Linked DNA regions of Elephas maximus indicus. The protein of the gene in region 2 binds, or shares a complex with, the protein of the main gene of each other region. Links are inferred from orthologs where the notes say so. Each region holds a gene or a part of one and is shown on either strand. Other genes may lie near its edges.

Evidence for each region.
Region 1: CC2D2A (region 2) and TMEM231 share a complex: the UniProt entries of both Homo sapiens proteins name them as parts of the tectonic-like complex. The link is inferred for Elephas maximus indicus from reciprocal best matches to the Homo sapiens genes CC2D2A and TMEM231.
Region 3: CC2D2A (region 2) and B9D2 share a complex: the UniProt entries of both Homo sapiens proteins name them as parts of the tectonic-like complex. The link is inferred for Elephas maximus indicus from reciprocal best matches to the Homo sapiens genes CC2D2A and B9D2.

What each region holds. Positions count from the first base shown.
Region 1 is NC_064839.1:41,211,994-41,222,130, forward strand, and holds the start of TMEM231 (transmembrane protein 231), read right to left. Parts: upstream 5,535-10,137; 5' UTR 5,442-5,534; coding exon 5,303-5,441; intron 5,217-5,302; coding exon 5,047-5,216; intron 1-5,046. UniProt on the Homo sapiens protein: Transmembrane component of the tectonic-like complex, a complex localized at the transition zone of primary cilia and acting as a barrier that prevents diffusion of transmembrane proteins between the cilia and plasma membranes.
Region 2 is NC_064823.1:150,138,547-150,148,683, forward strand, and holds the start of CC2D2A (coiled-coil and C2 domain-containing protein 2A), read right to left. Parts: upstream 5,246-10,137; 5' UTR 5,207-5,245; intron 5,114-5,206; 5' UTR 5,083-5,113; intron 1-5,082. UniProt on the Homo sapiens protein: Component of the tectonic-like complex, a complex localized at the transition zone of primary cilia and acting as a barrier that prevents diffusion of transmembrane proteins between the cilia and plasma membranes.
Region 3 is NC_064829.1:109,827,535-109,837,671, reverse strand, and holds the start of B9D2 (B9 domain-containing protein 2), read right to left. Parts: upstream 5,663-10,137; 5' UTR 5,452-5,662; intron 4,443-5,451; 5' UTR 4,439-4,442; coding exon 4,351-4,438; intron 1,519-4,350; coding exon 1,393-1,518; intron 1-1,392. UniProt on the Homo sapiens protein: Component of the tectonic-like complex, a complex localized at the transition zone of primary cilia and acting as a barrier that prevents diffusion of transmembrane proteins between the cilia and plasma membranes.

The DNA.
Region 1 (10,137 bases), on a different chromosome or scaffold from region 2:
CTCAGTTAAATGTTCAGATCCGTGGAAGAAAGACCTGGCTATCCGCTTCCGTACAGCCTAGAAAAACCCTGTAGGGTAGTTCTAATTTGTCACATAGGTCATCAGCACTCTAATTTACTTACAGCAACATGGAAAAAAAAAATCGGCATAGATTTTGAAAATACATTGTGGGGGTAGCGGTGAGCAAACAAACTTAGGAGGTGTGCATTATTTGCATAAAAACACAGTATGCTCTTTTAAGAATTATCTATATGGGATTAAAGTGACAAGAGAAACTCAAAAAATTAGGAGCCTTAGGAGGCAATGAGTTTTTGTTAACAACAGAGGAAAAACTCAGAAAAGGAAGGTGAGAATGGTTGCACAACTCCAAGTATGTAATCAATGTCACTAACTTGTACATGGTGTATGTTTTACAGTGTATATTCTCAACAAGATAAATTACAAATAAATAATAACAAAAACTAGACTTTTAAAACATTAAAAACAGGGGCTCTGGGGATGCTGTTCAAGGTGAGCTGACCAAAACAGAAGCAAGGTCATTTCCAATTTCTGAAGCATTTTCCCAAATTAACAATTGCAAATCCACCTCCTAACCTTGATCTAAAACCACTGTTTCCTCGGCTTCCTGAGCAGAGCTTCCTGGACAGGCTGTAGTCTGTCCGGCTTTATGTTTAGAATTAGAAAACACAAGTATTTTGTTGCAATAAGGGTTAGCAGTATAAACAATACCCCTCTCTCGCTCAGTTCTCTCAGAGTCAGTATGCGGACTAACTCTACATTTGTTTTTTCCAGATGGCCTCCCTGTTAGCCCAACATGATTTTATTGTATAAGCCATCTTTCCCCACTGATTTAAAATGCCACCTTTTCATACTTTTTATATCTGTCCCCAAATCACATTGTTTTATTTAATACAGCTTAATGGTACAATTTAATACCTAGTAGAGCTAAAAAAAAAAAAAATTTTTTTAGCTAAAGTGTTAAAAAGCAAAGACGTCACTTTGAGGCCTAAGGTGCGCCTCACCCAAGCCATGGTATTTTCAATCGCCTTGAATGCACAAGAAAGCTGGACAATGAATAAGGAAGATGGAAGAGTTGATGCCTTTGAATTACGGTGTGAGCAAAGAAAACTGAACGTACCATAGACTACCAGAAGAACGAACAAATCTGTCTTGAAAGAAGTACAGCCGAACGATCCTTAGAAGGATGGCAAGACTTCATCTCACCTACTTTGGACATGTTTTCAGGAGGGACCAGTCCATGGAGAAAGATACAATGCTTGGTAAAGTAGAGGGACACCAAAAGAGAGGAAGACCCTCAATAAGATGGACTGACACATGGCTACAATGATAGGCTCAAGCATATCAACAATTGTGAGGATGGCGCTGGGCTGAGCAGTGTTTCGTTCTGTTGCGCATAAGGTCGCTATGAGTCGGAATGGACTCGACAGCACCTAACAACTAGAGCTAACCCTGTAGTATCCTTTCTCTCAGAATTTTCTGGCTATTTTTGCTTATTTTTCAGTATGTCTGTTTCTCCCTCCCCCCCCAAAAAAATTCCTTTCTGTTTTTATTGGGATTGCATTAAAATTATTGACTGATTTAGGGAGAACAGACATCTTTATAATGTTGAATTCTCCTTCCTATGAACATGTTGTGTTTTTATTTTTCGTGTGTGTGTCCCTCAGCAGCCTTTTAATCTATATTCATATAGATTTTATACATTCCCTGTTAAATTTATTCCTATTTCATCTTTTGGATTGCTGCTGTTAAAGTCTTTATTTCTATTATATCTTCTGATGTCTTTTTTTTTTTTATCTCATAATTTGAAGCTACACCAAGAGCTGTCAGGATGGAAGCAAATTATTTATTAAAATGGACTACAGATTGGTAGGTCATAAATTACTTGTAGACACTGGCCTATAATGAAGAAAAAAAAGACTACGAAAAAAAAGCTTGGGTTTTGTGTTTTATCAACAGTATAAAATTATCCAGTTCTAGGCATCAAAAAAATAAGAGTCTTGGCTCTGTAGATGAAAATGGGAATCCACAAACACTAGGAGCAGGAGGATGACAGTGCTCTTAAGAGAATGGCTTCTGGTGACATAGATAAGAAGCTAACCAGCAGTGCAACTGGGAAACCAACCTTTCATAAAACCTTTCATGGAGGGTGGCTAATGCAGAGTAAAAAGAACAAATGTATGAAACCTAGTGCTGTATCTCTGTAATATTTTAAGACTTCATGATTATTTTTTAGACTTAAATAACCAGAACGGTATGATAAAAACCAGTTGTTGCCGAGTCTGTTCCAACTCAAGGCCACCCTACGTGTGTCAGAGCAGAGCTGCGCACTGTATGGTTTTCAGTGACTGATTTTTCAGAAGTAGATTGCCAGACCTTTCTTCTCAGGAGCCTCTGGGTGGACGCTACGCTTTACTTTAACCATTTATACCACCCAGAGACTCCCAACAAATAAATGTAAACAAAAAAACTTAAAGTGAAACTAGTAAATTAACTTTTGCGTGTTTGAAAAAAAGAAAATGTTTCCACTTTTGGGAAAGAAATACATGCACATGGAAAGCAAGAAATACAGTAGGTATACAGTGAAAAGTAAGTCTATCTCGACACTGACCCCTCATCCACGGTCACGCTTCTCCAGAGGTATTATAATCTCAAATAATAAAAACCGGCAATATGTCATGATTATGAGGAGCTATTCAAAGAAATTTCTCCTAATCCAGTCTTATTTTTAAAAACAATTTTAAAAAAGCAGACTTCCACCTATCCCACCAAAGGCAAATCTTTGATCTCATTTATCTGATTATTTAGAAACACATCTCCATGTCTATAAATAACATTTGCCATTAGTACTTCTCCATTTCTCAGTTTTAGGCATTCTCTATTGACTTTCCACAAGGAAAGGTAAAGACTTAGCTTTTTCGTTCCCCTATCCCACTTCTACCAGCCCCACCACATACCCATACCTTTCTCAGTTAAACTGTTATTTTGGTTAGTCAATATAATTATGATGCTGTAAACCCTGTTCAGGAGCCCTGGTGGCATGGTGGTTAAGTGCTCAGCTGTAAAGCAAAAGGTTGGCAGTTTAAACCCACCAGCTGCTCTGCAGGACAAAGATGTGGCAGTCTGCTTCTGAAAGATTACAGCCTTGGAAACCCTGTGGGGCAGCTCTACTCTGTCCTACAGGGTCTCTTTGAGAAGAATGGGTTTCGTTGGTTTTTCTGGTAGAACACTGTTCATAACTCTAATTACTTTTCCCTTCCTCACTTTTCTTACTTTTTATTTCCCCGAAGTTAATAATTATTGTATTTGCTTATTTAATTTTCTATGTACTTTTCTCAATTTCAACAAACAGCTTCTATTCCAATTCCTCACGATTTGGCATTTAAAGATGTAAGAGGTATTCTAAATCTTGTTCTTTGCAGTACTGACTCTTACAGTGAAAAATTGCAAGCAAATCAAATATCCATCAACAGGGAACTGGCTAAATACATTATAGTTTTTCCATATAACGAAATAATTTGCAGAACTTAAAAGGAATAAGGTTGATCAACAAGTACTGATACACATACCAAACTGAGCCTTTCATTTTCTGTCAGGTTATACCTGTAACTCCTTTATAATATTTTACAATGGGCAAGCATTTTTGAAATCAGAAGAAAATGTGAGAAAAATTTATAAAGTAACCACAAAAAAAGACAAACAGAACTATATTTTGTTTATAGTTATTCATATGACAAGACTTTTTTCTTTAATTTCATCTTATTGAATTGCTGGAAAAAAGTCTGAATTTTTTTTTGTCAGCAAATTAAAACAAGTATTTTTTTTTTTTTTTATAGCTCCTAGGCTCTTATTTCAGAGGTGTCCAGAGATTCAGCTTTCGAAAAGGGAAGACCAGAAGTTTCACACATCTAAAGGAAGATGTTCTCAGAAGATGAGTGGAAAGGGTTGACTGCAAAGGAAGCGCTCACTTATTCTGAACCAAATACAGGTACTCCCCAGTTTACAATGTATTCCAGCTAGGAGGAACCACACTTACCATCCTTTTCTTTCTTTCTTTTTTTCGTATATCTCACCCATTAGTAAACGTACTACATACAATGCTGCAGTAGCGTAATTTGCCGATGTTATCATTCTCATGCCAATCCCAAAAGATAAATAAAGATCAGATTTATAAAGATACAGATAATAAAAGGCAATAATAATTGGGAAAAAAATTAAGTATTCGACTTATGTCAGAACTGACTTCATAGGAATGGAACCCCATTCTAAGTCCGGGACTACCTGTGTTACATTGCCATCCCGTTGATTCTGACTCAAGGCAACCTGTTTGGTGAGTGGAACTGCCCCCATGGGGTTTCCGAGGCTGAATGTAACTCTTTATGGAAGCAGACTGCCAGCATCTTCTGCGGAGCGCTGGTGGATTCCAAACACTGACCTTCTGGCGGGCAGCTGAGCGCTCTAACCACTGCGCAACCAAGGCACCTTTGTACTACTTTACAGACAGTAAATGCTTCTTTTCGTGCAGATAGTGCTGGATGGTGCAGCCTAGGAAGGTGTGACTTAGCCAGCAGCACTCGCTGGGATGGTCGCTTAACCAATCAGCGCCTGGGCAAATACCTGATCTTTCTGCGGCTACGGTGTTACGATGTGCAATTACAGCGACAGGATGGGGTCATTAATACAAAGGCACTGTCACGGCCACCCCTCCATCAGGCCAGGTCCACAGAAGTAAGGAGATCTAGAGACAGACTGTTGGCAGGCTTCTGGCCCCAAAGTTCCCTGAAAGCAATGACAAACTTTTCCAGCGGTCGTGGACCTCCTGGAGAATCAAAACGAAACATTATCTATCTACTCGCCTGGAAATTAAACGTAAGCTCAGGCCCACGAGCCTGTGTAAACAAGTATTCGCGGACCCTTAAGACCCAAGCTGGGCTCTCCTCGGCCAGGGGTTGCTCGTCCCCCGTCGCCCCTACCCTCACCTCCCGCCCACTCGGGGTGGGCCGCAGGGCAGGGGCGGAAAACACGCACCGAAACGAGCGGGACGCGCAGGTGGTCCCCCTGCAGCCGGTTGAAGGCGGGGAACGTGCTCCAGGCAAGGAACCCGCCGCGCTCCGGTCCCAGCAAGGCCACAAGCAGTACCTGGTGCTGGAAGCGCACGGTCGGCTGCTCTTCGTAGCTGCTCCGCTTTAGCCAAAACCCTGAGGTAAAGAGGGCGGAGAGGAGGTCAGGGCGGCTTGCCCAGGCGCGGGGAGCCGTGTTGCGCAGCGCTTGGGGGCTGGCTTACCGTGGCTCCGAAAGGCCACTAGCAGCGGGGGGACGTATGTGAGTGCGGCGGCCAGCAGCAGAAACAGCGCGGCCTTGGAGCAGAGCCCAGCGCGGTAGCTGCGCTCGGCAGGGTGAGAGAAGAGCTCGTAGAGCGCCATGAACGACGTGCGGGGGTCCGCAGCACGCTGCGACCTCGCGGAGATTCGAAAGGGAGGAATAAGTTTGGCTTCTCCCGGTTGCCATATTCTTGGTCTCCATGGCAACCGAGGGGTGAAACGAACCAATAGCAAGGAGGCAGTGATCTGTTAGGGGTGGGGCTAACGGCAGGCGGTGCTTTTGGTGGATGGTCGACTTCGCTTTAACTGTGGCGTTCTTTCTAAGGCTGAGTGGAAATAGGATGTTTCCATGTACCAAAATTTTAATTAACCGTCTGTGTTAACATTTGTGTAAAATAGCATTTTCATAAAGGATGACAAAAAATACTTCGTTATGAGCCATCTGTTTAAGCCCCAATGTGGTTTATACTAAAGTGCAACCACTCAGAGCACACTTTGCGTTGGAGGAAAACGCACAGGACGTAAATGTGGCTGCGGTCCTGGATCTGGTCCTGGGTTAAGACCAAAGCCACGTTCTTTTGTCTCCAAATTTTCCGTGCCTTCCACTCAACAGCCAGACACAGAAACAGAAAGACAGAAATCCCACACTCTTCGAGGAATAAAGGATAATTATTATGTTAAAACAAAGATCATATTAAGCCAATAATAGAAATTGATTTCAAGTTTATTTAATATAAACCCAAAACCATTTTTTAATGGTTTTATTTAATATAATATGATTTGTAAATCAGGCAACACTTCTGATAGTCAAACTGTTTCCAACGAGAACAGAACTTCCAAAGATAGTTATATCCCATCTTATGGACACTGTCATGGAAATGACCAGAACAGTGTTTTCATAATAACAATTTACCCTAAAACACAGCTTCCAGATCCACCTTGGAGCTTCTATTTATGGAAACTGAACTCTCAAAAGAGCTCAACCTCCAAGGCAAAATGGTCTTTACTAATTGGCAAGACTATTTGGCTTAAAGGTGACTTCTAGGAGACCAGTTTGTTCAAGGCTGAAGATTCAAAAGATCACATCAGAGCAATGGCATGGGTGTGGTCACCCCAACTCCATGTGTTACCAGAATAAGGTTCCTGCCTCTCACTGGTCAAGAATGAGCAGGTAAGGCACGTAGTTTTCCACAGGAGCAAAGCTTTATTGAAGAGGCCTGCAAAGAGAGATGAGGAGGGCCTAGGGCAATGCTGACCCTCCTCTTACAGAACAAAGGACAGGCCCGAGTTTTTAAAAAGTTCTTCGGTGGGAAAAGATTCATGTTTATTCATAGGCACAGGCGGATATATATTAACTAAGGTGCACGTGCAGTAGCTTTCCAAGATGGCTCCTGTCCAGGAGGCCTCTGGGATTGTAGCAGGACTTATTATGGGGTGTCACACCTGCACAGTCTCTCTCATTCCCTGGGTTCGATTTCCCAGCTAGGCTGTAGCTCCTCACTGTCCCTGGTGGAAGGTCACACAGTGGTCACAGGTGCATGTTCTGCTCAAGTCTCTGGGCTTGGTTTTCTCCAGCTGCTTCTGAAAGGCAACTTTAAAGAAGTTTGTGGGCTATTTTAAAATACCCTGCCCCACTGTTCTAGGGAATAGCTTTTGTTTCTGTGCCCTGGCCTATTTCCTGTTACTTTGTTTGCAGATTTGGGGGCCCCTCTGTTCCTTGTCTTCTTGCTAAGTCTCTGGGTTCCACACTTAACCTCCTATTACCTCCCTTATCGTATAGTCTATTTCTTTTACTTGTTTCGCCTCTAACCACACCAGTCTCTTTGCTATTTTTCAAACAGGCACGCTCTGATCTCAGGGCCTTTGCTCCCTGTCTTACATGCACCCTAGAAATCTGGGTTCCGGGAGAATTAAAAACCGTGCTCTCTGGTGTACTTTGCTACCTCTTTTTAAATATTGGTTACAAGCTTTGCTAGCCATTGGTTTACTCCTTAAATGAATTTTTTTTTTTTCTAACCAGTGTTTTGGACATGGCAGAAGGATTTTTAAAAATTATTTTTGTTTATTGTAAATAACAGTTCACAAGAAGGATTGATGAAACATTTAAAGTTTACATGCACACATCCTGTGAGGTGGAGAACAAAGACAACGGTCAAAGTGAAAACAAAACCGAAAATAAATAATACTCTTCTTTTTAATCAGGGGAATGAGACCAAGGTGAGTTTTGTGGTTGATTATCTAGATCAGAGTTTGGCAAACATTTTCTGTAAAGGGCCAACTAGAAAATATTTTAAGCTTTGCGTGTCTACAGTCTCAGGTGCAACTGCTCAACTATGTGATTGTAGCGTGAAAGCAGTCATAGACAATATGTAAACAAATGCGTGGCCATGTTCCAATATATTTATGAACATTGAAATGTAAATTTCATATAATTTTCATGTGTCACAAAATGTTACTAATTTTTTTAAATCATTTAAATGTTTTTTTAAATTCTTAAGCTTGTGGGCTATACAAAAACAGGCACCAGGCCAGATTTTGTCTGTGAGCCGTGTTCTAGGGTAAAAACATCACAAAGTTTAGTAAAGCAAAAAGAAAGTTTTATTCGGCATATGTTCAAAGAGACAAAAGTGGGAAACGGACAAGCATGCTGTCTGCCCGAGTCCAAGGAAATATTACAGAATAAGCAAAAGCGGGAAAAAAGACAAACATGCTGCCACAGCCATGTCTGCCCGAGTCCAGGGAAATATTACAGAATAGGCAAGAATGGGAAAATGGACGAGCTTGCTTCTAGAGCAATGTCTGCCAGGTCCCGAGAATATTAGAGTCATCAGTATATATTAACATTACAAACGGGCAAAACCATTGAAAGCTTCACCTTTTCACAGATTAGCTAGAAACTGTTACCCTATATTTTGAATTGTCTTTCTTAACAATCCTTGGCACAGGTTTCAGTAAGGACGGTCAGGAGGGTCTTCATTGGTCCAACAAATTTTCTATTCACTAAATGCTAACAGAAGAAGAACGAAAACTCCTCTGTGTTCTGTTTTATGATACGTTTATGTGAAAGTTTCCCTAAAAGATATTTTCCAAGAGTCTTCTAACATCTTTATACCTCAGGGACCAGTTAATGTGTCCTTGTGAGTCCTTGTGAGTCTACTCCAGCTGGGTCACATTCTAAGACAGGTAATAACAGCTCCAATATTATCTCCTAAATCAGCTGTAGTTTGCTAACGTTGAACTAGATACTTACTTTACTTCTTTCATTGGTTTATTATGTCAGGGTTGAGAATAAATAACTTACAAAGATGCTTTATAATAGTGTCGAGAATCATGAAACTATTATTTTGTCTTTTTGACTTCATCTCTTTAAGGAAGAGAAGTGACAAAAGAAATCAGTTCCTGAGGGTACTAGGAGGTGGTGGTAATGGGTTTAATCTTTCAAGAGGTGTTACAAAGATCTCCAGCTTTTAATTCTGATGAAAAGACATGGTCCTTATTTTCCATTAGATCTTTATGTTATGCATTGAATTGTGCGCCCCCGCAAAATATGTGTCAATGTGGTTAGGTCATGATTCCTAGTATTGTATGGTTGTCCTCCATTTCATGATTGATGTAATTTTCCTGTGTGTTGTAAAAGCTAATCTCTGCCTGTGGTTAATGAGGCAAGACTGTGTTATGCTAAAGAGGTTTAGAGTAGAATGTAACATCCTTACTCAGTTGCATCCCTGATCCAATGTAAAGGGAGTTTCCCTGGGGTTAGGCTTGCATCACCTTATATCTTACAAGAGATAAGTGGAAAGAGAAGTGAGCAGAGAGTGGGGGACCTCATACCACCAAGAAAGCAGCACTGGGAGCAGAGCCCATCTTTTGGACCCAGGGTTCCTGGTGAGAAGCTCCTAGTCCAGGGGAAGAGTGATGACGAGGATCTTCCTCCAGAGCCAACAGAGAAAGAACACCTTCCCCTGGAGCGGGCACCTGAATTTGAACTTCTAGCCTACCAGACTGTGAGAAAATAAGTTTGTCTTTGTTAAAGCCATCCACTTGTAGTATTTCTTTTATAGCAGCACTAGATAACCAAGACAAACTACTTAAAAATATATATATATATATTTGTTTATATATAAACGAATGATCCCGTCTACTGACTTGCTTTTATTGTGATAAAAAATATATACATATATATATAACAAAACTTTGCTAATTCAACAATATTTACACCCATCCATTGACTTTTAAAAAAGTCAGTAATAGTCCAAGTATTTTTTTGTTGTTGTTGTTCTTCTTTTTTCCTGTCCCCTCCTGCCTTCTAGTCCTTTCCCCTGGGCTGGTGTGCTCATTTAGTCTCATCTTGTTATATTGGCCCCAAGTATTTTTCTTTGCTATATCAAACACATAGTAGAGCCTCTTAGCCATAGCAGTGCCTTGGGCAGATTTATATTTAGTTGAAAACAAGTCTAAAGTTTCTAATGTTGTGATCTTTTTGAACCTTTTTAAAATTTTTCATTTTGGCAGAAGGATTTTTTTTTTTTTTTTTTACCATGATCCATGCCAAATTCTTCATCAAAAGTCCCTGCATACTAAGTCCATCCAAAGGGGAAAGAATAGTCTCTTCAACAAACGATGCTGGGACAACGAAAGAAACAATTTGGACCCATCTTCACACCATATATGAAAATTAACTAAAAATGGATCAAAATATAAGAACTAAAACCACAAAACAAGAAAACATATGAATAAAACTTCAAGATCTTGTTCTTGACAATAGATTCCTAGATATGCAGAATATATAAAGAACACC
Region 2 (10,137 bases):
TGGAGCAGTTCTACTCTGTAACACATTGAGTTGCCAGGAGTTGAGATTAACTCCATGGCAACCTTCTTTTTTTTGTAATGTAAATTGTGTTCCTTTGTTTCCCCACTTCTCACTTTGACTGCACCTTAGAAGGCAAAACTGGCTACAATTTTTTTCTGCCTACAGCCATTTTTGGTTTCAGCAATTTCCTCCCCATTACTATATTTTTACCTTCCTTAATTTCCTGTGAAGTTGCTGTTGTCGCTTTCGAAACACTGCCCAGTTCTGCACCATTCTCACAATTGTTGCTGTGCTTGATCCCATTGTTGCAGCCACTGTGTCAATCCATCTTGTTGACAGTCTTCCTCTTTTTTGCTGACCGTCTACTTTACCAAGCATGATGTCCTTCTCCAGGGACTGATCCCTCCTGAAAAGTTGTCCAAAGTATGTGAGACACAGTCTCAACCTTCTTGCTTCTAAGGAGCATTCCGGTTGTACTTCTTCCAAGACACATTTGTTCGTTCTCTTGGCAGTCCATGGTATATTCAGTATTCTCCACTAACTCCACAATTCAAAGGCATCAATTCTTCTTCAGTCTTCCTTATTCATCGTCCAGCTTTTCCATGCCAGTGATCCAATAGAAAACATCATGGCATAGTCCTCAAGGTGACATCTTGGCTTTTCAACACTTTAAAGAGGTCTTTTGCAGCAGATTCGCCCAATGCAATGCATCCTTTGAGTTCTTGACTGCTGCTTCCATGAGTGTTGATTGTGGACCCAAGTAAAATGAAACCCTTGACAACTTCACTCTTTTCTCTGTTTATCATGATGTTGCTTTCTGGTCCAGTTGTAAGGATTTTTGTTTTCTTTATGTTGAGGAACAATCCACACTGAAGGCTGTGGTCTTTGATTTTTATCAGTAAGTGTTTCAAGTCCTCTTCACTTTCAGCAAGCAAGGTTGTGTCATCTGCATAATGCAGGTTGTTAATGAATCTTCCTCCAGTCTTGATGCCCCGTTTTTCTTCATATAGTCTAATTTCTCAAATTATTTGCTCAGCATATAGATTGAATAGGTATGGTGAAGGGATACAACCCTGTTGCACACCTTTCCTGAATTTAAACCACTCAGCATCTCCTTGTTCTGTTGGAAGGACTGCCTCTTGATCCGTGTACAGGTTGCTCATGAGCACAATTAAGTATTCTAGAATTCCCATTCTTCGCAATGTCCTCCAAAATTTGTTATGATCCACACAGTCAAATGCCTGTGAAGTAGATACTATTATTCTCTAGTTTACAGATGAAAATAATCAAAGGCTCGGGAACATTATGTGACTTACTCATGCTCACACAGCTAGTAAAGGGGATAACCAAATTTCAAACTTAAAACCCATTGCTGTTGAGTCGATTCCAACTCATAGCGACCCTATAGGACAGAGTAGAACTGCCCCCGTAGAGTTTCCAAGGAGCGCCTGGTGGATTCAAACTGCCAACCTTTTGAGTAGTAGCTGTAGCACTTAACCACTATGCCACCAGGGTTTCAAACTTAGAGCTGTTCTATTCCAAAATTGTGTTCTCTTTTCAAAGTTATCTAATTTTAATTTTTATCAAAACCACAGGTGTGTATAATTTAAGAAGGCATATTACTATTTTGTACTTCTCTGCCTCTCTCTGTCTCTGTCTTTCTCTCTCTCTATATATGTAGCCCTAGTGGTGTATTGGTTAAGAGCTTGGCTGTAACAAAAAAGTCGGCAGTTCATATTCACCAGCTGCTCCTTAGATACCCTATGGGGCAGTTCTACTCTGTCCTACAGGGTTGCTAGAGTTGGAGCCAACTTGATGGCGCATAACAACAACAACAACAACTATATATATATTATATATATACATACACATATTTTTTGTTGGACCTCTTGGTGCTTAGCAAATTCCCAGGCACAGTGCAGGTAACACAGAGTTGGAGCCAACTTGATGGCGCATAACAACAACAACAACAACTATATATATATTATATATATACATACACATATTTTTTGTTGGACCTCTTGGTGCTTAGCAAATTCCCAGGCACAGTGCAGGTAACACAGAAAACACAGAAGTAACTGTTAAATCGATAGAATCATAAAGTGTCCCCAAAGAGACACACGCCAATTCAGCTCAGCCCATTGATAGTTTGGATTGTATGATCCTATGAAGATACCATGGTTTCCTCACGTTTGAGTTGTCCAGATGAGAAAACATGGTAGAAGAAAGTCCTGTTAGCCAATGTGATCAAGATGGATAGGTGGTTGTTTAAGCAAATAAAGTCTGCTAGTATAAGAAATCACACAAGAAATCTATCTGTCCCCTAATTACTTATTATTTATCTAAAACATGTAAATATATGCATTTATTCATCAGTCTTGTTGCGTAGGGCTAAGACCTTTTTTGGTCCTCTAAATACAGCAGACTTTGGCTTCTTGGATAAATTGCACCTGTTATGCACCGTGGTTGATTTCCAGTCTTGTTCCTTTAGTCTCTAGATGCTAGTAAAAAAAATTTAGTAAGGGCATCTTCTTAAATTTTATAAGATCCCTCCACCCTCCTTATCCCCAGTATTTTAAAGTGGTTCTTGACCACTTGACATGTGGTTGTTTTTAGCTGCCTTCAGGTCAGCTCTGACTCATGGTGATCCCATCTTCAACCGAATGAAATGCTGTCCAATTCTGTGCCATCTTCACTGGTATGTGTGAATCCCTTGTTGTGGCCACTGTGTATTTTGTATGTCTTTCAAGCTAGGGGCTTATCTTCCAGCACTATATCAGACAATATTCTGCTGTGATCCAAAATGTGTTCATTGGCTAATTTTCAAAAGTAGATCTCCCGGCCTTTATTTCTAGTCTGTCTTAGTCTGGAAGCTCACGGAAACCCATTCACCATAGGTACTTGAAATACTATTGGTATGGTTTTTACCATCATAGCAACGTACAAACTACCACAGTATGAAAAACTGACAGACGGGTGATGACAGATTCTAGATGCTGGTGAAGCAGTTTTAGTGAAGGCACCGTTTTAGGGTTATGAACACCCACTCCCCCACCCCCCGTATTTTAAAGTGGGTCTTGCTCACTTGACAAACATGGCAGTAAACAATAACAATTCATTGACTCAATTTGTTATCAAGTCTTGGCAAAGTTCTTACAGAAAAAAAATATCTTGGGGCTTGTATGAGTTTTCTATCGCTCTTGTGACAAATCACCACAAATTTAGTGATTTTAAAGGAACTCAAATATATGATGTTACACTTCCATAGGTTAGAAATCCAGCACAGGTCCCATGGCTGAAATCAAGATGTCAGCAGGGCCATGTTCCTTTCTGGAGGCTCTAGGGGAGCACCCACTTCCTTGCTGTCAGCTTTCCTTGGCATGTGACTCCATTTTCCCATCTTCAAAGCCCACAAAGTCAGGTGGAGTCCTTCTCATGCTGCTGTCTTTCTGGTTCCTAACTTCTGCCAGCCTTTTCCACTTTTAAGGAGCCTTGTGTTTACACATGGAGTTTCTGGGTGGTGCAAAGAGCTAAGCCCTTGGCTACTAACCAAAAGATTGGAGATATGAACCTACCCAGGGGCATCTCAGAGGAAAGTCCTGGCAATCTGCTCCCAAAAGCTCACAGCCATGAAAGCCTTATGAAGTACCATTCTACTCTGACTCATGTAGGGTTGCTATTAGTAAGAATTGACTCTACAGAACTAGTTTTTCTTTTTCTGGTGATTATATTGGGCCCACCTGGATAATCCAGGACAATCTTTTTATTTTAATGTCTCATGATTAAAACCAAACTTGTTGCTGTCAAGTCGATTCCAACTCATAGTGACCCTATAGGACAGAGTAGAATTGCCCCATAGGGTTTCCAAGGAGCACATGGTGGATTCAAACTGTTGACCTTTTGGTTAGCAGATATAGCTCTTAACCACTGCGCCACCAGGGCTTCCGTCTCCTGATTAGGAACCTTAACGCCATCTGCAACCTTAATTTCTCTTTGCCATGTAACCTAACATATTCACCAGTTCTGGGGATTAGGATGTGGGGCACCTTTAGGGGCCATCATTCTGCCTACCATAGAGCTCATACTTGTTTTACCTTAGTTTATATTCTACTAAGCAGTTTACATAATTGCAAGTGTAAATTGGGGTTGGGGGCAAACAGTACTGACCCCTGGTCAGTGTAACACTCAGATGTCAGGAGTAGAAGTTCATATGAAAAGCAGCCTATGAGCTGGAAGTATACAGCTGCCTTGGGCATCATTTGGTATATTTTAAAAAGAGAATGGAGAATTCTGGATAAGCCAGCCAGTTGATGAAGAACAGGTGGGATAAGAGGGCTTCTACTGTGAATTCTTACTTTAGCCACATCAGAAAAGACCAGTCACTAGACAAGGAATTATGTTTGGTAAAGTAGAGGGCCAGTGAAAATGAAGGAAATCCTCAAAGACATGGATTGGCACCAATAGCCACAACAATGGATCCAAACATACCAATAATCAGGAAGATGGCACCAGAATAGGCAACGTTTTGTTCTGTTATACAAAAGGTCGCCCTGAGTCTGAGCTGACTGATGGCAGTTAACAGCAATTGCGAATTCAATCTTTCCTCTTCCAAAGGATTTTAAGTGAACTTCTCTTAAAGCCAACGTTCAGAACCCGAAAGCCACACGTAGAATTAAATTGTAAGCAAATGTAACAATGTGTGGGTATATGTGCATTTTTCTGGTTAGGGAATCTGGCTTTCTTCACATCCGAAAAAGTTTTTGACCCAGGAAAGATGAAACATTTACCATGATCAGCCCTCTGTTTTTGTTATTTGGGTACAACCCATTTCCATGATTAAATTGTCCATCCTTGAGACTTACATAGTGGGAATATATCAGAGAGATTTTTCAACTAAACCACAGCACTTACCACTATGCCTGGCATACAGTTCGTGCTCAATAAATATTAATTTATTTCTAAGGTAAACCTTTGCCTCTGTGAGTTGAACACTTGCAGATTTAACAAGTTTACCAGATTGTTTTAGTTTCAGTCATTCTATTCCAAAGAAGCGAAATATGTTTATAATCACATACTACTTACGGTGCTTCTTGCCAAGGAGCGTCACTTCATCCTTTAAGAGGAAAAAAAGCCGAACTTGTATTTTAAAACTTGTTTTGGAATTTTGAAGAGCTGTTCCAGTGTTCTGCGGTTAGATCGTACTTACGCCTCCAGTTGTATTCTGCTCTGTAGTCCCAGAGTTGGCACCAACGACTTGTTGAAAATATTATCAGTGGTAAGAGACCTACTACTGAGAATTTTATTAACACAAAAGAGGGCCTGTAAGAAGTTTACTGATTATAAACTTTTTCTGTCTAAAAATTTAAATTAAAAAAAAAAAAAAAAACTTGTTGCTGTTTTGAGTTGGTTTCTGACTTATAGTAACCCCATAGGACAGAGTAGAACTGCCCCATAGGGTTTCCAAGGCTGTCAATCTTTACAGACGCGTATGCCACGTGTTTCGGCTGGTGGGTTCAAACCACTGAACACTGGTGGGTTTCAGTTAGCAGCCAAGCTCTTAACCACTGCGCTGCCAGGCTCCTCCCAGAAATTTAAATAGGCTGACCACTTACTCATTGGATTTGTGAATTAAAGCACTGAAATTCTCTCCATTCCAACAACAGGGGAATTTCTGGCTTTTGCTTCTCCTGTGACTTCTCCCTGGAGCTGAGAACACTGTCATGCAATATGTTTACAATTACTGAATTGTGGGGGACTTGTTTCTCAAGTGTGTGTGTTTCAGTAATACTGACTGGCACACCACCTCCTCAGTCTTGGAAGAGTCTAACGTTTTTTTCTTCTTTAGTGCTGAGAATTCTGGGATCATCAACCAAGAATTGGATGGGACCTTAGGGGACGCCACACCCAGCCTACCATCCACTGCATGGCTCCTTCTGCAGCATTGTGTTTCAAGCTTTCTTAAACTGCAAATCATTTTAAGAAGTAAGTTTTATACCACAACCGAGTGTGTGCGCACACACATACATATACATTTAAAACATAGTTTTCAGGAAACATTACTTACCCTTACTACAGATACTATGTACTGATAGTTTCAATTTTATTCTTTTTTTTTTTTTTCTGTTCTATTGGGTTCTAATCTAATATATAACATATGAAGACATTGGTGGTAAAGTGGTAGAATTCTTGCCACCCATGTGGAAGGCCTGGATTCTGTTCCTGGCCAACACACTTCATATGCAGCCATCACCCCCCTGTCAGTGGAGGCTTGCATGTTGCTCTGGTGCTGAACATATTTCAGGAGAGCTTCCAGACTAAGATGGACTAGGAAGAAAGATCTGGCAATTCACCTCTGAAAATAAGCCAATGAAAATTCTATGGATCACAATGGTCCGATCCACAACCGATCATGGAGGTGGGACAGCACTGGACAGCATTTCATTCCATCTGTGCCCAGGGTCACCAAGTCTACAGCAGCTAACAATAACAACAACAATATATAACATATAATATAAAATATGTGATATAGACCGATGCCGGTTGTGTACCCTCTAAATTGATTTCATATCTTACTAATCTGTTGCAAGAAGCCCTAGTGGTGCAACGTTTAAGTGCTCAGCTGCTAACCAAAATGTCGGCTGTTCAAACGCACCAGCCACTCTGCAGGAGAAAAGACCTGGTAATCTGCTCCTGTAGATTATAGCCTTGGAAACCCCATGGGCAGCTCTGCTCTGTCCTATAGGGTTGCTATGAGTCGGAATCAGCTCTACAGCACACAACGACAACAGCAACGTGTTGCAGCCCACAGTTTGAAAACATGGAACAGCCAAATTCCTGGCAGATTTTTGGTCGTCCAGTCTTCATTTGAACAATTTCACCATTGAGCAGTTTAATATCTTATGAATGGTATTCATACATCTGATAATTTTTGAACAACTGGCTTTAAAGATGTCAATTTATGTTGTGTCCTCTCCTAGACTTTGTAATAAAGCACTATCTGCCTTCAAGAAATGTTCCCTACGGGTCAGGCTTGAACTGGGTGTGGCCTGAATCTCATGTTCTGGGGTAAACCATGTGGCCAATAAGACTCCCAGGGTTCTTCCCTACAGTTAGGGCTTCCCCTCATTCTACGTAACTTTAGGATTTTAATTGCTACCACTCTCAATTGAATTTTCATTTTTCTAATGTGAAGATTCCCTCAAAATTTGTGGTCAATCTGATTTAAAAAGTTTTAGGGATGCTGATGACATGGTCCAATGTCTACTTACAACATTTATGTTATTAATTGCTATACACATATATATTTTAGAAACAATATTATATAAAATTATATATCGATTTAGGATTATTGATTTTTTTCCTACTATTGCATTTCATGAAACAACTTTATTTAATTCACCATGCGCCTCTTTGATGTTAGTTTTTGGCCCTCTCTAGATTAACTTTTGAGTTGCCTAAGAAATACTTCATTCCCGTCTAAGCACATTGACACCGTTCCTATCTAATTTGTTTGAGATTCAAAACTCTTTGGATACATGATGCTGTCGCTGTAAATTTTATCCAAACCATCAATACCTATTTGCATAGTTTTTCTTTCTTTCTTCATGTGTAATATTTACATGGCAATTATGTTTCTTTGTAACAACCTTGTTTTTGTTGTTGAGTGCTGTCGATTCTGACTCATAGTGACCCCATGTGACAGAGTAGAACTGCCCCATAGGATTTTTTTTTTCTTTCACTGTAATTTTTACAGAAGCAGATCTCCAGGTCTTTCTCCCATGGAGCCTCTGTGTGGGTTTGTTGAGCTATAAACCACATATCAAACAATTCACCCATTCAATGGCTTTTAGTATATTCACGGAGTTGTGCAACAGTGACCACAATCAATTTTAGAACATTTTAATCATCCTCCAAAGAAACCCCATAACCACTAGCAGTTACTTCCCAATCCCCCTAAACCCCTATCTCTAGGCAACCATTTCTGTCTCGGTAGATTTGCCTATTTTGGACGTATGAATGGAATCACACATGTGGTTATTTACGCCTGGCTTCTTTTACTTAGCATAATGTTTTCAAGGTTCACATGTTGTAGCATGTACTGGGGCTTCATTTCTCTTTGTTTAAATTTGATTTTAAAGTAATCTTTAAAAGGATTGTCTAAAATGATACTCACTTCTTCCATCAGGAAGGTCATGCCCACCCAGAAATGATTACTAAATCTGTGTTAAATTCCTTTTTCTCTTTTTAAAAACTCAATTCTGTCTGATGACCTTCATGACTATGAAAATCAGTGTTAAATGCATACATTTCAAGCTAAAGTATCTTGACAAGTGTAATGTGTTTTGTTCCAAATAAAGTAATGAGAATGACATCTGTAATATGAAAGACTTTATAAACGCCTGAAAATAGTGCCTGTCTTAGTTACCTAGTGCTACCATAACAGAAATACCACAAGTGGATGGCTTTAACAAAGAGAAATTTATTTTCTCCCAGTCTAGCAGGCTAGAAGTCCAAATTCAGGGCGTCAGCTCCAGGGGAAGGCCTTCTCTCTGTTGGCCCTGGAGGAAGATCCTTCTCATCAATCTTCCCCTGGACTAGGAGCTTCTCTGTGCAGGAACCCCCGATCCAAAGGATGCACTTAATTCCTGGTGCTACTTTTTTGGTGGTATGAGGTCTCTCTGCTCACTTCTCTCTTTTATATCTCAATAGAGATTGGCTCAAGACAAAAACCAACCTTGTAGATTGAACCCTGCCTCATTAACATAACTGCCACCTATCTCACCTCATTAACGTCATAGAGGTAGAATTTGCAACACATAGGAAAATCACATCAGATGACAAAATGGTAGACAATCACACAATACTGAGAATCATGGCCTAGAAAAATTGATACACATATTTTGGGGGGACACAATTCAGTCCATAACAGTGCCTCTCCCTTGGTTCTGAGTAATAATTTAGGGGAAATTTACTGTATCTTTAGGCATATATAGTATATAGTAGATATAAAAGGAGTTGTGTTATCTTATCCTCAACAAGAGAAGAGAAAATAGTATTTTTTTAAACATGTATCAAAGACCAGGCACTTTACTTGGCACTCTCTATATATTATCTTATTTAATCTTCACAGCACCTTATGAGACAGGAAATACTATCTTCATTTTATGAATGAGGAAGTTGAGTATTTCTGGTGAGAAAGCAGGTAGGGGAGCCTGTAGTCCCACTTGCTCAGACTTTCCTTGTACATGGTCTCCAATTTCCCCTTTTCTATCAGTCTGAATTCACACAATATACATTTCATTGATCATGAAGGTCAGTCAAGAGTTCCATGGCTCCAAACCTTGTACTATATGACAATAGTAAGTTCACAAGCCCCATGACAGGGACATATAGTTGACATGCTCTGATACACTCCCCAGCCTTCCTTCTAGTTAGGACAGAACCATATTACTTGTGCTGTCAAATGGCTGTGAATAGAAGTGGAATTGCGTTGGAAGTAGTGATGGATGGTGAAAGCTTTCAGACCCCACTCCTTCTCTGAAAGGACCCTAAAATCAGGTGACGAGCTGAGATAATCACAAAATATTGGTGCTTTCATAAGACCGGCTCCTCGAGGGATCCAGGGGAATAGAGCCTGCTCACAAACCTGCACTGGACACTTGGCATAAATAATAAAATAACTGTGTGTGCGTGTGTGTGTGTAGTCATGACATTCTAGGGTCAATTTTTTACCATAACATAACCTAGCCTACCTTGACTCATACATATATTAAAGTTCATTTCCTTTAGTTCAACCAGCTTTTACTGGTAAACTACTAGGTGGGCTAATAAAAATGTGGACTTGATAAGTGTTGGGATCTCTGAGGGAGGGGCCTTAGGGTTTTCACTGGCTAATTTTTCAGAATTAGATCACCAGGACTTTCTTCTTTGTCTGTCCTAATCTGGAAGCTCTCTTGAAACCTGTCCATCATAGGTGGCCCTGTTGGTATTTGAAATAATTGTGGCACAGCTTCCACCACAATAGCAACATGCAAGCCACCATAGTATGACAAACTGACAGATGGGTGGTGGAAAACAACCAGAATGTTCCTTAGAAGAAAGGACAGCAAGACTTCAATTAGCTTACTTTAGACATGT
Region 3 (10,137 bases), on a different chromosome or scaffold from region 2:
AACATAGGAAGGCTTTGGCTTTTACCCTGAGTGGCACGGGGACCAGGGGAGGGAGGGCTCTGACAGAGCAGGAACGTGATCTGATTTGGATGTTCACGGGGTCCCGCTGGCTACCTGTGGGGAACAGACTGGGGTGGAGCCGGGGGTGAACCAGGGAGGGGACCAACGTTGGGGGACAGAATTGCCTGTCTCATCCTCCCAATTCATTGCTTACTTGGCAGCCAGAAGATCTTTTAAAAGCAAAATACAGTTTGTCCATCGCCTGCCCTGGCACCCCAGTGCCTTCAAATGGCCTCAGGTCCTCAGCCTGGTGTTCAAGGCCCTGCATGGCCTGTCCCCTACCACCTCACTCCCTGCTGCCCTCCTAGTCTCCCTCCCTCAGTCCTTCAGATGCCCCTCTGCTTAGGAACTCTCTTCCAGTCCTTTGCCTCACTAGCTCCTACTAGCCCTTCACATCAAAGCTCAAATGTCCCCTCCTCCAGGAAGTCCTCCCTGATCTCCCCGACAGGGTCAGGAACCTCTTCTCGGTTCCCAGGCCCCAGGGGCCCCCCACCCCAGCCCTGTCCACTTGGGCTGTCACTGTGTGGGGACAGGTCTGTCTCCTCCACTGGATGGTAGGGCCCCTGAGAACAGGGCTGTGGGTATCTCAGTCACTGGTATCTTCCTGGCATCATCTAATATAGGGAGCCCTGATGGCACAGTGGTTAAAGCGCTCAGCTGCTTACCAACAGGTCAGTGGTTCAAACTCACTAGCTGCTCCGCAGGAGAAAGATGTGGCAGTCTGCTACCATAAAGATTTACAGCCTTGGAAACCCTATGGGGCAGTTCTACTGTGTCCTATAGGGTCGCCATGAGTCGGAATCACCTGGATGGCAGTGGGTTTGGTTTTTGGTTATTTCCCAAGCCTGGAATCTGCTCCTCTGCAATACCCCAAACTCTCTCCCAGAAAGTGCTTTCTGATACCCCTCCTCCCCTGCACTCATCTCCCCCTGAGCCTCTGCTCTCAAGCTAAGGGGCCCTCCCTGAAAAGCAGCAGCAAGCCCTCACCTCTGTGTCTCTCTCTCCCTCATAAACCCCATCCCAGATTGCTCCCTATTGCAGACTGTCTCCCTCTGTCTTTACTTAGAGGCCATCTCCCTTCCCACCCTGGTCCCTACCTTCCCACCTCCCCTTCCACCCCGGGCCTCCGCCCCAGCCCCTCATACTTGGGATTCCCTTACAGCCCACCTGGGATGCTTCAGCTCAGCCTCTCCGGGGCCAGGCTGGGCTGGGAAAGGGACCGAAAAAGGTATAAGGGCAGAGGGCAGAGACTTGATATTCTCATCCCAGCAGCTAGGGTGCTATCAGCCCCCCTCCCCTCAGCCTGGCCCAGGGCCCATGCCTGGAACCTACCTTGAAGGCCTTTAGTGGCAAAGTGCAAGTCGATGGGGTGGGACCAGTAGGCCATGTCCCCCACTTGGGGGGTGTCCACCTGCGTTTGGCCCTCCCGCACGCCTGACAGTAGCTTCCATGCAGCCCCTGTGGGGAGAGCCAGGACACTGAGATGCGGCAGTGGGGTGATGCCACTGTGGCTGTAGGACCCCGTTTCTCCCTAACATTTGGGGGCAGGGGTTATAAAACACAGACTCTGGAGTCAAATGCCTGGGTTCAAATCCTGGCACTACCTCTTCCTGCCTTTGTGACCTTTGGTAAGTTACATTTCTATGCCTCTGTCTTCCCATCTGTAAAATGAGTGTAAAAATAATGTGTTCCTCATAGTTTTTGAGATTAAGCTAATACATACAAAGCACTTAAAACAGTGCCTAGGGCATAGTGAGTGCTGGATAAAATATCATTTTATTACTACTCCCACTCCATATTTAGAAGCCTAGATCAAGGACTAAGATGAGGCCAAGAGTATTCTCCACAGCTGGGTGTGCCGTGAAGGGTGCATAGTAACAGCAAAATGCTCTGAGTGCTTACTACATGCCAGATGCTGTGCTGATCCCTTTAGGTAATGAATGTAATCTGACTCTAGCACTCTTAATCCCACCCTGCCCAGCCCAACCCCCCCAGCTCAGACACTCACCCGGTGCCTAAGGCTCTGCATGGCCTGCGTGCCCACCTTCCTGCCCTCATCTCCATCACTCTCCCCCTTCCTCACCCCCACAGCCTCACTGGTCCCATTTCTGTTCCCCAGTGTTGGCCGAGCTCATTCCCAACTCAGGGCCTTTGCACTTGCCATTCCCTCTGCCTAGAAAGCTCTGCTCCTGGAGCTCCCTGTGGGTGGCTCTTTTTCATCCATCCACAGAGGGGCTTGCCCTGACACTCCGATCCAAAAATTAGTCCCCATCACCTCCTCCTGTCTCTTTTCTTCCTGGCACCAACCACTAACTAAAATCACTGTGCTCACCTGTCTGCTTATTTATTTTCTGTGTCCCCTACTGGGAGCCTCAGGAAAGCAGGGCACTTGTGCACTGCTGTATCTCCAGAACCTCAAACCCAATGCTTGGTATACAGAAGGCACTCAGTAAATACTTGTCAGACAAATGAGTGATCTAAGAAGTAAAAGAATAAGCTCTGCCAAAGAAAATCACTTGGTCATTCATTCCACCAAGATTCACTGAGTGCCTACTGTGTGCCAGGCACTTGGGTCAGACCGAGACCCCACAGCAGAGCTGGATTCAAGCTCAGCACTGACTGTTTGACTGCGGAGCCCAATCAGACTACCTCTGAGCTCTCTGCTGGACCAATCCCCGTGCCCCTACAACTCCCTCCCTGAACTAATAAAAACCATGTTAGCCACTTTCCCACAAGACTGAGAGAATGAAGCATCAGGCCCTGAGCCAGGCTCTTCACATACAAGATTTCCAAAAAACCCTATGAAGGATGGATGGTGGAAACCCTGGTGGCATAGTGGTTAAGTGCTACGGCTGCTAACCAAAAAGGTCAGCAGTTCGAATCTGCCAGGCGCTCCTTGGAAACTCTCTGGGGCAGTTCTACTCTGCCCTATAGGGTTGCTATGAGTCGGAATCGACATGATGGCAGCAGGGATATAGATGGTTTCACACAGTGGCTGCAACAATGGGCTCGAGCATGGCAATGATTGTGACGATGGTGCAGAGGTGGGCAGTGTTTCATTCTGTTATACAAAGGGTCGCTATGAGTTGGAACTGACTCGACAGAACCTAACAACACATAGATGAGGAAACTGAGGTGACAGCACCTGCCCAGGGTCCCAGGGCAGTTGAGTGGTAGGGCCCAGACTGGAAACCCAGTCTGACTCTAGAACCTGCCCCTTAACCACTCAGCTGGAGGATATCAATTCCCCAGGGAATCTGAATCACCACCCCGCCTACCAGTGAAATCACAAATGACCCAGAGCCTGAAGGGATGCTGACAGCAAAAGCCATACCTATTTCATGGGCCAGGCAACACACACCAGGCTTTACAAACGAGACCCCATCGAAGTCTTACAAGAGCCAGACAAACACTTACTGAACACTTACTACCCACTGGACCCTGCTCTAAGTGCTGCTGATATAAAGTTAGTCCTCCCAACAATCCCATGAGGTAAAATTATTCCCATTGTTCAGGTACAGAAATCAAAGCAAAGAGAAGTGCAACAGCTGGTTTTGTGCCCAGGCGGTTGTGCTCTTAATCTTGACACTGTGCTGCCTCTCAGCTGCTATTTAGTCACATTTTCAGACAAGGAAACAGATACTCAGAGAGTTCAGGCCCAAAGGCCTCCAATTAATAGGTGGAGTTAGTCTTCGAACCCAGATTTGGTGGCCTGTGGTCCTAACCACTATGCATACTGCCTCAGATGGGGAGGCATGAAAACTGGGGGCTTTGGGGGTACCCCTCTAAACCTGCATGAAAGGATATGGATGGCTGCCAGTTCCTACCTTCTCAAAGAGGACTGTGAATACCAGAGAATGGGCTGCCTTTGTAAATCGGGCACAGAAACTTCCACTATACAGTACGAACTCAATACACAGAGACTGTTAACCAAAGAATTATTATTAAGACTGTGGAGAGTCCCAGAGCATCCCTAAGACAGTTAGTGAAGTCCAAAGCGGGGCGGGGGGGGGGGGGTCTGGGCTACCTAGAGTTTTGAGAATTGGCAGGAGAGGGGTCCTAGCCTATAGTCCCATATGCTTAGAAGCTGCGTGTTCATTAGGGTGGGAGCCAGAGCCCCCACGGCAGAATATGAAGTGAGCCTAAGGCTCCTGTGGACAGCTGATTTCTGACGGCGGACGGAAGGTAAGGATCAGAACCTGGGTCAGGGGGCAAGTAGAGAGCACGGAGCCTCTGGGCACAGGGACTTGGCGGGGGGGGGGGGGGGGAACAAACCAGGCCCAGGAATACCTGTGTGGATGCCCCACTTGCAGAAGAGGCTACTTTCTGAGAAACCGGTGGCCCCCATGATTTGTCCAATTACGTGCACCTCAGCCATCGCCCTGGGAAAGGAAAAGTATAATCACAGCCCTGTGAGATATTATTTGCTCCATCTGATAGGTAGGGAAACTAAGACCCACAGAGTAAATGGCAGCATCAGGATTCCAAGATAGGTTCGTCAAACCCCTGAGGCTGTGCTCTTAACCACTACCCTGTCTTCCCAGGAGAACCCGGGAAAAACAGGACTGCTGGGTGCAATAGCTGGCGTCTAACTCTGCCCCACCCCAAGATACCTCCACCTCAAGGAGCCCTGGCGGCACAGTGGTTAAGAGCTCAGCTGCTAACTGAAAGGTCGGGGTTTGAACCCACCAGCCACACCACGGGAGAAAGACGTGGCATCTCCTTCCGTAAAGATGACAGCTTTGGAAACACTACGGGGCGGGGCAGTTCTACTCTGTCCTATAGGGTCTCTGTGAGTCGGAATGTGTCCACAGCTACAGGTTTGATTTTGTTTTGGGTACCTCTGGCTCAGTCCACGGAAACCCTGCTGGGCATTGGTTAAGAGCTCGGCTTCTAACCAAAAGGTCGGCAGTTCCAATCCACCAGGCGCTTCTTGGAAACCCTGTGGGGCAGTTCTACTCCGGGCTATAGGGTCGCTATGAGTCGGAATGGACTCAACTGCAATGGGCTTGGTTTTTTTGGCTCAGCCCACGGAGCCCTGGTGCTAAGAGCTCGGCTGCTAACCAAAAGATTGGCAGTTTGAATCTACTAGTCGCTTCTTGGAAACCCTATGGGGCAGCTCTACTCTGTCCTAGAGGGTACCTAAGAGTCGGAAACTACCCTAACGCAAGTGGTTTCGTTTGGTTTGGTATCAGTCCACCGAAAAGTCCCGCCCAGGGGTCTCTGGCTCCGCACACAAGGGCAAGAGCCCCGCCTCCTAGCGTCAGCCCGGCCCGAAGCTCCATGATGCGCATGCGTCGTAAGTGCCTTAGCCGCGCCCCCTCAAGACAACGCATGCCTTATTGCGACTTTAACACCCCTAACGGTTAAAAACCATAAAGCCAAACCCACTGCCGTCCAGTCGATGCCGACCCATAGCGACGAAAGCAGCACAGGGTATCGTAATTCCTGAGTCTGACCTGTCCCTCTCTCCGCGGGCGCCGACTTCCCAGGCCTGGCTCCCGCCTCTCCCAGGACCTTCCCGGCAGCGAGAAATCTGTAGAGGCCGATCTCTCCACGGCCGTGCCCGCCTCCGGGATCCCTAGTTGTTGCTACGGCAACAGCAGCCTCCACCCCTGGCCTAGCTCCCGTCCTGCGCGCCGCTAATTGGCCCTAGCTGTTCTCGGGGGCGGGGCGGGCCTGTGACGGACGTTTTCTCCGCCTGTTTTTTTTTTTAGCTCCCGTTCGGGAAAGCAGCGCTTCTCCGCCAGCGTGAGGTTCCGCCATTGGGGGCGTGGCCGAGCAGCTACCATCTTGAGTGTGGCTGGGTTTCTTTGAGCGCCAACTCTTTCTCCCAGACCCTCTTTATAAAACAAACAAATCCATAAAGACCACAAATCAGAGACGACCCAAGGCCATGGGGAAGTCCCTCCCCTTACACTGTGTGCATCCTCCCGTCTCATAATTGGAAATAATCCTTCCACATTCAGAGAGGGTTCTTGGTCTGTTTTTAAATTTCCCCAGTCCCCTTAAAACAAAAAAACAAACCCATTGCCGTGGAGTAGATTACGAGTCATAGCGACCCAGGTCCACGAAGGACTGAGAAATACAATTTCCTTCTCAGAAATACTGCACAGTTTTTCACCCTGATTCCTGATTCTGAGCAGGGGGTGGGGGGAGGGAATGAAAGTGAGGAACTGAAAATGCAAAAACCAAACCGTTGACCCTCAAGTGGATTCCATTCATAGCGAACCTGTAGAATCCCCCTTTATCTGCAGAAAATCTCGTTTTTGAAGATTTAGCTCTTCCAGTAAGTTGTCCTGCTCATTTCATTTTTTATGACTTACAGTTTTTTTAGATTCATGCTTTGTACATTCCACGTTCCAGTTATTAATGGATATTTGCAGCTGTTTCTTCTCATTTTGAGTTGTGCGGCATAAGCAAATGAAGGTCCCTGGGAAGCTTGACTCCATCCACCTCATTAAGGTCGACTGTACTTTGAGGCAGCCCTTCCCCCATTGTATTTTGAGTGGCTTCCAACCTGAGGGGATCCTCTTTGGCATTATTATCAGTGTTTCACTGCTATTCAGAAGGTTTTCACTAGCCAATTTTTTCAGAATTAGACTGTCAGGTTCTTCTTCCTAGTCTGTCTTAGTCTGGAAGCTTAGCTGAAACCTGTCCACCAAGGGTGCCTCTGCTGGTATTCGATGCCAAAGCTTCCAGTATCACAGCAACACACAAAACACAGTACAACAAACTGATAGGCACATGGAGGCCCATCTATAGGTCTCAGTTATCTAATCCATATAATGGGTGCATGGAGAGTGGACCAGAGTCAAAAGTACTCACACAACCTGAGTTCCTGAGCAATGCGTTTCCCACTCTATTTCTAACTCCAGCTGAACCTCAGTCCCTTGTTCCTTCAGCCCAAATCAGGAGTCCAGTGAGAACTTATTTCCCACTTTTAGCAAAACAGGGAGTCTTCTGAGTCACCAACTCAAAATTATGGAGGAAGGACATTCCAATAGAATAAAATTTATATAAATAAAATAATTCAATAGAGTAATATTAATAGATACATATTTAATAGCACCACTTATTGATCACTTTCTCTGTGCCAGCTGGTACTGACTCTTTTACATTTATTATCTCCTTCAATCCTTACATACAGCCTACGGGGTAGGTAATATCAGCCCCATTTAAAACGAAGAAAAACTACTTGCTTTAAGCCAAATTGATCATAGATCTCTCTGACTCTGTCCCTAACTTAGGTTATTAACTTTTCTGCTATCCTGCCTTTCTTGAATACCAAAATAAACCAACCAAACCAGTTGCCTGGGAGTTGATTCTGACTCATAGCAAAAAAAAAAAAAAAAAATTTTTTTTTTTTCATAGCAACAGATCGCCTGATACCTAAGGAGTGTGAAAGTTGTGCATGGGTGTCATCCTAGGCTCTATCACTTCTCTACCGAAGTGGCCATCAAGTCCTGTCAGTGTTCCTTAGTTTTTTTCAACTGTTTTTTTCCCCACTGGTTAATACTACCAGTAAACTACTTATCATTCAGTCAGTTTTGACTCATGACAACCCCATGTGTATCAGAATAGAACTGTGCTCCATAGAATTTTCAATGGCTTGTTTTTTGGAAGTAGATCTCCCGGCCTTTCTTCCATGGCACCACCACCAACCTTTCAATTATCAGCTGAGCAAATTAACTGTTTGCACTACCCAGAGACTCCTGGATTAACATTAGTGATTAAGAAAATGGACCCCATTTAAAAGCTAGCAAGGGGCCATCTCAGATGCACTGATTGGTCCCAACCCACCTGGAGCAAAGGAGAATGAAGAACATCAAAGACATAACGAAAATATGAGCCCAAGGGACAGAAAGGGCCACATAAACCAGAGACTCAACCAGCCTGAGACCAGAAGACCTAGATTGCAGCCAGCTACCACCAATTACCTCACTCACTAAATGGGCAGCTCCTGCCTAGAAGTGAGATGAAAAGGCAGAAGGGGACAGGAGCTGGTTGAATGGACACGGGAAATAAAGGGTGGAGAGGAGTGTGCTGTCACATTGTAGGGAGAGCAACCAGGGTCACATAACAATGTGTGTATAAGTTTTTGTATGAGAAACTGACTCAAATTGTAAACTTTCACTTAAAACACAATTTAAAAAGAAAGAAAGAAAGAAAATGGACCCCACAAGTTAACTTCCTGGATTTGTCTTGGCTCTGTCTCTTCTGTGTGACTTTTAACCTCTCTGTACCTCAGTTTCCTCATCTGTAACATCGGAATGAATGATAGTACTCACTGCACTGAGGTATTATGAAGACTTAATGAGTTAATGTATGAAACTGTTTTAAAGTACGTCCACAGATTCTCTGACACTCCTCCCTTCATTAGGTGGATTCTAATTCCCCTCCCTTGAGTGTGGGCTGGCCTTGGTGATTTCCTTCTAACCAACAGCACATGGTAGAAATATTGGAGTGTGACTAACAAGACTATATCATAAAAGGAATCGAGGCTTCCTCCTTGCATTATTTCCTAGGGTTGTTGTAACAAAATATCGCTAAGTGGGTGGCTTTTGAACGACAGAAATTTATTGTCTCACATTCTGGAGGCTGGGAATTCAAGATCAGGGTGTCAGCTGTGTGGATTCCTTCTGAAGCTTCTGTTCCCCGCCTCTCTCCTGGCTTCTGGCAGCCTCAGGCATTCCTTGACTTGCAGCTGCAGGGTCAGATGGTGTCTCTTCTCTTTCAAAAGGACACCACTCAGGTGGGATTAGGATCTACCCTACTCTGGAACCACCTCATATTGACTGATAACATTTTCTAAGACCCTATTTCAAACAAGGTCATGATCAAATGTGCCACAGGTTAGGATTTCAACACACACATTGGCGGGGAGGGGGACACAATTCAATCCATAACACTCCTTGCTCTCTCTCTTGAACCACTTACTCTGAGGGAAGTCAGCCACTATGTCACGAGGACAGTAAATCAGCTGGTGGACAGACCTAAATAGGAAAGAACGCAGGGCTCCTGCCAACAACTAACACTATGTGACTGACCCATCTTGGAAGCAGATCTTCCAGCCCTAATCAAGTCTGCAGATGACTATACCCATACCCACTGCTGTCGAGTCGATTCTGACTCATAGTGACCCTATAGGACAGAGAAGAACTGCCGCGTAGAGTTTCCAAGGCGTGCCTGGTGGATTCGAACTGCCGACCTTTTGGTTAGCAGCTGTAGCTCTTAACCACTACACCATCAGGGTTTCCACAGATGACTGTAGCCCTGTCCAACATCTTGACTGTAACTTCATGACAGACCCTGAGGTAAAAACCACCCAGCTAAGCTGTTGCCAGGTTCCTGACCTACAGAAAATCTGTGAGATAATAAATGTTTCTTGTTTTAAGCCTACAAATTTGGGGGGAGAGGGGTGTGGATGTGTTGTGCAGCAATAGATAACTAGTACCCATATGTAATAAATTTAGAACAGTGAAAGCGTTAAAATGTGTGTTGTTGTTGATGATTTTATTGTTACTTTAATGAACTGGCATATCTTACGTATTGTTTTACACCTACCCTTTTACACTCAGTGATATATCTTGAACATGTATCCATATCAGTGTGTAAAGATTTGCCTTTCTAAAAGTGGAACATATGTACAGAAAAATGAAAAAGTCATAACTGAACGGCTTGATTAATTTTCACAAACTGAACATGCCTGGTCACCAGAACTCAGCTTAAGAAAAGAATATGACCAGCCACCCCCAGAATTCCCCTTGTGCCTCTTCCAGGATGTCTCCAAGGGTGGCCACGAACTGGATTTCTAACAACATGGGTGTGTTTTGCCTGTTTTTTGTAGTTTATATAAGTGAAGCCATACAGTATGTACTCTTTTGTGTCTTCTGTCTTTTGCTCAACATTTTGCTCAACATTCACCCATGCCGTTGCGTGTAGCTCTGGATCTCGCACTGTCATTGCTGTGTAGTTTCATTGTGTGATGATGCCAGTATTTATTTATCCATCCTACTGGTGACGGGAATTCATCTTCTTTTGGTGGACATATGTTCACATCTGGCTGGAGTGGAA